Linked DNA regions of Xenopus tropicalis. The protein of the gene in region 1 interacts with the protein of each later gene in a biochemical or structural test. Links are inferred from orthologs where the notes say so. Each region holds a gene or a part of one and is shown on either strand. Other genes may lie near its edges.

Region 1 (3,761 bases):
TTCAGCAACATAAAGATCAAAACCTTCTGGCAACTACAATTCCTTAGCAGGTCCCACAGTCAGTGCAACATACAGAACAACATGAGCAAACAGAGTAACATGTGGTCCAGTTGGTGGTTCTCCTTCTAGATCTGGCCAGTCCTTTATTCCATAGGCAGAAGGAAGAGTCGCTGGCATGTTCTCAAAGTCATTCTATCACTCAAATCTAACTACACCAGCTTTTCTACTAACCCTCTTGCACAAGCCTTCATCCCATGTAAGAAGAGACGTAGTTTCCATAAACTCTTGCCTCCCATCCCTACAGTTCCCAAACAATCATGATCCCTACCCTTGCAGTTCCTACTGCTTGCTATACCATGTATGCCGGTTTCCTTTTGCTTGGTATCATTCTACGCTTTGCCTACATTTATGCCTGCCCAAAGTTGTCAGGGAATGTATCTTGCCCACACCTGCTTTCTACTCCTACAAAGGCTAGTGCATGCCAAGTTCCATAACTTCATTCTGCCCATTTATGCCATTGTATCCCACTTAATTATGTCTCAATGCTAGTGTGCAAAGTCTCTTTTCCCTCACCCAAACCAGTCTATGCCTTTTATTCACGTGTCCACTCTCTCCAATTAATGCCAATCCATGCCTCATATCACTCGTCGTGTCCCCTTTCTCCATCTGACAATTTTATACCTTGCCTAAAAATTCCTCTCTCTATATCAGGGGGCTCAAACTCAATTTACCTGGGGGCCGCAGGAGGCAAAGTCAGGATGAGGCTGGGCCGCATAAGGGATTTCACAAAATGCAAGCCTTCATGGACTTTTTTATCGGATAATGCAAGGCACGGCGGGCGGGAGCTGCTGATTGCGGAAATGACGTTATGCCATCATAACAGTTATTATGGGAAGACGTTCTGTGTGCACAATTAGCTGCTAACTAAGGAGCTAATTGTGCACACAGAACGTCTTCCCATAATAACTGTTATGATGGCATAACGTCATTTCCGCAATCAGCAGCTCCCGCCCGCCGTGCCTTGCATTATCCCTTGAATCGCAATAAAAATCATGATCCATTCATTGCTTTTGCGAAGGCATTGGTGTGGGCCACAAAATATTGTACCGAGGGCCGCAAATGGCCCGCGGGCCGCGAGTTTGAGACCCCTGCTCTATATACAACTATCGACGCTTGTCAATGTTTCAATTTTCCCTCATTGAGGTGTCGCATCATGACAGAGTTCTCTCTGGTCATATCATACTTTGGCCATGCAACCATTCTCTCCCCTCCTCTCCTCTTGCCCCATTTATGGCACTGTGTGTCTGCCTCTTTTTTTCCCTCTTACTATAACATGCAGTGCCCAGGCCTACTTATCTCCCAATGTATGCTTAATGCCAGTGTTCTCTCTTGTTATAACAAGCCTTGCCTATCTCTTCTATATACTTTGCATTTATGCCAGGGTGCCTCTTCCCATTCATGCCACTGCATAGCTTATACTAGTATGCCCTTTTTCCTCTCATCATAATATACCTTGCCCAGGTCTCCCCATTTATGCCAGTGAGCCTATTCCCATTCACGCTACTACGTAGCATATACTAGTATGCCCTTTTTCCTCTCATCATAATATACCTTGCCCAGGTCTCCCCATTTATGCCAGTGTGCCTATTCCCATTCATGCCACTACGTAGCATATACTAGTATGCCCTTTTTCCTCTCATCATAATATACCTTGCCCAGGTCTCCCCATTTATGCCAGTGTGCCTATTCCCATTCATGCCACTGTATAGCTTATACTAGTATGCCCTTTTTCCTCTCATCATAATATACCTTGCCCAGGTCTCCCCATTTATGCCAGTGTGCCTCTTCCCATTCATGCCACTGTATAGCTTATACTAGTATGCCCTTTTTCCTCTCATCATAATATACCTTGCCCAGGTCTCCCCATTTATGCCAGTGTGCCTCTTCCCATTCATGCCACTGCGTAGCTTATACTAGTATGCCCTTTTTCCTCTCATCATAATATACCTTGCCCAGGTCTCCTGTGTCTCCCCATTTATGGCAATGTGCCTCTTCCCAATGTCTCCTTTTCGAACCCATTTAGGCCAGTGTTCCCTTTTTACATGTCACCATTTTAGGCTGTGCCAGTGTTTGTCCCCATGTGTGCCAGTGTTTGCCCATGTCATACTATTGGTCTATTTATGGCAACCTAGTCATGTCTCCCTCTATGCCTACTGTTTCTTTATGCATTTGCCCCTTATTATGTGCCACAACATTCTGCCAGTCAGATTTCCTCAATGCAGTTTTTCTGCACCGCCCATTATATCTACAACCCTCATCCCGGGGCCCTTGCCTACCTCTATTACCCCTGCCCATGCCACCTAAATGCCCGGCTATCCCTTCATCTGTCTAGAATTCCATTCCCTCCCCCTTCTAGGCCTTAGGCCTCAGTGTTGAGCAGTCAGACGTGCCGGGTGCGCGCATACCTGGACGGGTTCCTGCAGTACTGTCATCCTCCGGCCTTACTGCGGCCTCCCGTCTAGGTCTCTCTCCCGCTGTCGGGACCGCTCTCCCCAGCTACTCTCAAGACGTCAGACAGGCGGCTCCGGCTCATTTAAACTCACAGCGACCGTTACCGGGGAGGCCGCCGGAGATTGCCGAATAGAAGCGTAAACCGCCGAACGTTTGCGGAGAATGCCGAGCCCCTACGAATCCACAGTAGAATCGAAGGAACCAGCCGAACCTTTCCGAAGAAAGACGAATTCAAAACTCTCAATTCATTGAGTCGGAGCAGGCGCCATCTGGCGGTAAGAAAGGAGAGCTCATCCTGCTGATTGTTTTTCCCGGGGGTTAAATGAATAAAAATTTTATTGTTTGTGATAAATCTCTAGTTATGTTAGAAAATCACTTTTGCATTTGCTTTGTAGCGTTTGTCTGTACAGTGTTAAGCTTGCAGGGAGTAACACAGCATGGGTAGGAGTACAGTGGGCAATGTTCTCATACCGAGGCAGTCATTATAGCTGTTTTTTATTCTTGGTATGGTGCCTGCCCGGCAAGCAGTAGGAACAAGTATTAGCTGAAACACCTAATCATAACACTTCTGTCTAATACTGCCAAGCATGGGTGGGTTTTAAGGGCTTTTACAAGCATTTCTGTATGAGTTCCACCTGCGTTTGGTGGTTCCAAGCAGCGCAAAACAAGCATACAGTAAAACATAGACTCATGCATTCCCTTGTGGTCGAACACCACGAAAGAGCCACCACAGTGGAACGCATGACAAACCCCTTGTGTGCAAGAGCCCTAGTGAATGGGCTGGTTCACCATTAAGTTACATTTTAATATGTTATAGAATGTCCTGTTCATAGCAACTTTGCAGTTGGTCTTCATTACATAGTAACATAGTAAGTTAGGTTGAAAAAAGACATACGTCCATCACGTTCAACCATAATGCCTATATATAACCTGCCTAACTTCTAGTTGATCCAGAGGAAGGCAAAAAAAAACATCTGAAGCCTCTCTAATTTGCCGCAGAGGTGAAAAAATTCCTTACTGACTCCAAGATGGCAATCGGACCAGTCCCTGGATCAACTTGTACTGAGAGCTATCTCCCATAACCCTGTATTCCCTCACTTGTACTGAGAGCTATCTCCCCTACCCCTGTATTCCCTCACTTGTACTGAGAGCTATCTCCCCTACCCCTGTATTCCCTCACTTGTACTGAGAGCTATCTCCCCTACCCCTGTATTCCCTCACTTGTACTGAGAGCTATCCCCCTACCCCTG
Region 2 (3,661 bases), on another chromosome or scaffold:
ATGTCTTTCTGGGCAGCTCCCCCCTCCTCCCCCTCCCTGTGCAAGCTCAGCCAGAGTGCTCAGATCACACAGGCTACAAAACACAGCAGGAGATAAGTCCTCCGTCACCCTTCCCTCTCCCTGATCCAGCAAGAAAATAAAGCCATTAATCACTGGCAAGACAGATTCTGAAAGCGAAGCGGGGAAATTAACTTCTGGTTTAAAGCGGAAGTCAAGCAGCCGCCGTATTGCCGTTTTCACTATGTCCTATGCATCACTGGTAATGTTATTTATTCTATGCCTAGTTATAATATTGCAGTTTCTATATGGTATGTGTTAAATAAAGTGTCTAGAAGGGATATTTGAAACAATAAATTTTGGTGTTACTGTTCCTTTAAGTCATAACAGAATTCTGGGAAGAAATTCCTTAAGGCTCCTAGAAAAGTCCCATTTACATGGGCTTGTCCTACAGGCTAAAGCTCACCCACTGGGTTTAAAGCAGAAGCCAGGATAATAGCTGATCAGCTATTAAGGGGTTTGTTATAGTACATTTTTTTCCCTCTTTAAAAAAACCCGCAGAATAAAATCCCTTAGTTCAAATCTCCAGCACCTTGACTGCATAACTCACTGAAAACAAACAAAACATGTACTTATGAAAGTGCTTCACAAGCTGAAAGCCAATGTACCTAAATCCAGGGATGCACCAAATACACTTTTTTGGATTTGGCCAAACCCAGAATCCCTTGTAAAGGAGTCGATCAAATACCAAACAGAATCCTAATTAGCATATGCTATTAGGTTATGGAAGGGTTACATTTTCAAAACCACTCAACTTTGTCACATAAACGGATTCGGTTCGGCCAGGAGCATGGATTCGGCTGAATCCGAATCCTGCAAAAAACAAAAAAACTGAATCTTGGCCAAATCCTGAACCCTGGATTCGGTGCATCCCTATATAAATCACAATTCATATCTGTTGAAAGTCTCATACCAGCATTCCCCGTTTGAAGATACCTAAATTGTTCTAAAATGTACAAAAAAAATTGCAATATGACCGTTCAGTGAGTAAAGGTGCCCATACACTATAAGACCTGCTCGCTTGGCGATGTCGCCAAGCGAGCGGATCTTCACCCGATATCCCCACCTACGGGTGGGTGATATTGGGTAGCAAGGGACTTAAAAAAAAAAAATCCGATCATTTGGCCCTGGGGCCAAACGATCGGATTACATTTGAGCTTATGGGGCAGTCGGTTCGGGGACCGCATCAACGAGCCGATGCGGTCCCCGATCCAACCGGATTTTCTAACCTGGCCGATCGAGATCTGGCCAATTTCAGGCCAGATATCAGTCGGCCAGGCAGCTCTGTTGTGCCCATACATGGGCCGATTAGCTGCCGAAATCGGTCCAAGGGACCGATATCGGCAGCTATAGTCGGCTCGTGTATGGGGACCTTTATAGTTACCCACCACAGTTGAATCAAAGATGCAAGTGCAAGCACAATCCATTAACAGTGATTTAATCCAGTTCTAAAAAAATTATGCACGAGCACAGATTGTTGAAAACTTGCAGCATAAGTTGACTTTGGATTCTTTTAAACACTAAGTTCTGCACTATAGTACTATTGAAATATATAATCACAAGCTTTTAATATTTGCTGATAGTGGTAAAATCAATGTTTTAGAATGGGATTAAATCACATTAATTAAGATTCCTTTTATTGTTTTCGATTGCTTGCACCTTTAATTGATTCAACTGTGGTGTTGAACTCACTACACTGTCAAATTGCACATTTTTAGAACAATTTATAGGTATCTTAACAGAATGCTGCTATGAGGTTTTCAACAAATATGAATTGTGATTTGGTTACACAGACCATTTGTGAAGCACTTTCGCATTTATGTGTATTCAGTGTCAGACATCAGTGAAAACAGAACAAAAAAAAAAAAAAAAAGACACACTGCTGCACAGTGGAGCAGGAGCAAGTGTGCAAAGCTTCTTCTCAGTCAGGCATGCCCAGAAGGCTTTCTATTAAGTATTATGTAGTCTTAACTATTATGTAGTCAAAGAGATGAGCACTCAGCAGGAGGGGGCAGGCCTTGCACTGTACCAGGAAGTAGATGAAAGGAGAGGCTGGAGATTTATAATTTAGAAACCAGATCAGACTGAATGCAGAGTCTAAGGTATGTTATTGTGGGGGGTTGGGTTCTAAGACATCAAACAATTGATTCGGATGATTAGCCATTAGTTTCTCTTTACACCTACTGTATACTCTTTACTCCTGATTAATACACCCAGCACCGAACCGTTAAAGTGAAGACCAGTGGGACAATGACTAATGGACCCAGCTTCCACATAACCATTCCAGAATATTGAATGTTAGAAAAGATTAAACAATGTTTATGAACTTCAAAGAGCCATTTCCCCTTTCACCGACTAGTTTCAGAAGTCTGATCAAGCATAGATCACAAAATGCCAAAGACCTCGCTATAAACTGACCTGAATCCGTGTTAAATAATGGCATCTCTAATGGACACAGCTGAATATTTGTTAAGGCATCAAACCTTACAACTTCATTATCCTGAACCAGGAGTGACACACCTGCTAAGCAAAAGTGACTGAGTTTATGGTCTTCTGGAATATCAAAACTCTCAAAGTCTGCAAGGAAACAATATCCAAAAGTTATTTGCAAAGCACTACATATTTAGAGAAAGTCATCTCTGCAGATCTGATTTTGGAAAGAAGTGGTTGATGCCTTGAAGTCCTCATCCTTAGCTAGCATTTTCGTTTCCTGTTCAACTCCGTGCATGAGTACATGCTGCAGCACTTGCTTTACAAGGAATGCCATTTATAAACAAATGCATTTAGTGTACTGCAATATTGGTCACCATTTTACTTCCCTTATGGAAGCCAAATGCATATCTACACAGTGAACCACATAATAAGTCAGTTATGCAAGGGATAACGCATTTACACACACAGGATTAGAAAATACATATCACAGGGCTATATAGTAAAAATACATATGTTTCAGAATAATATTTTTTCACAAAAAGCAAGTAACATCAAAAGTAAAATTCAAACCATGTGTGTTAAATAAAAGATCCAATATACTTCGCTTATGGAGAAGGGTAAGGGTATCTCCTCCTCTCCTGCCTTTTTACCAGTTCCATCACCTGTACCGAAATTTATCGCTATTATTGCACTCTGCAATGTCTAGTGACATTGCTCTTGAATGCATAACTTATTACAAATTTGACCAATGTGTTCTCTAACTTTGTCTTTCAGGGCTCGCATTGAACACCCCACATTGTTTTTGCAGTTTTGGCAAGTCCCCAAATATATTACTGCTGTACTATTACAATTAATAAAACTTCCTATTTCAGCACTAAAAATGTTCTGAAAAGGTAACCCTCGGCTTATACTCGAGTATATGGATGTGCTGACTCTGGCTCGTTGAATGCCAGAGTCAGCACATCCATGTGCACAATGAGCGTTACATCTGTACATCCAGAGTCAGAGTCGGCAGGTATGCACGGACACACGTCCGTCCACAGGGAGGAGGGTAGGAGAGTGGGTGCGCGCAACATCTGAACATCCATCTGCACAACGAGCCAGAGTAAGTAAGTGGTACAGTAACTTAGTGGTTGCTAGTCAGCTTGGGGAATGTACACAGGGGAGCGCA

The links.
Region 2: the proteins of cdc27 (region 1) and securin form a complex in vitro, tested with the Homo sapiens proteins (3 studies listed by BioGRID). The link is inferred for Xenopus tropicalis from reciprocal best matches to the Homo sapiens genes CDC27 and PTTG1.

What each region holds. Positions count from the first base shown.
Region 1 is NC_030686.2:17,336,864-17,340,624, forward strand, and holds the start of cdc27 (cell division cycle protein 27 homolog), read right to left. Parts: upstream 2,621-3,761; 5' UTR 2,493-2,620; coding exon 2,466-2,492; intron 1-2,465. UniProt on the Homo sapiens protein: Component of the anaphase promoting complex/cyclosome (APC/C), a cell cycle-regulated E3 ubiquitin ligase that controls progression through mitosis and the G1 phase of the cell cycle.
Region 2 is NC_030680.2:46,734,362-46,738,022, forward strand, and holds part of securin, read right to left. Parts: intron 2,635-3,661; coding exon 2,476-2,634; intron 1-2,475. UniProt on the Homo sapiens protein: Regulatory protein, which plays a central role in chromosome stability, in the p53/TP53 pathway, and DNA repair. Probably acts by blocking the action of key proteins.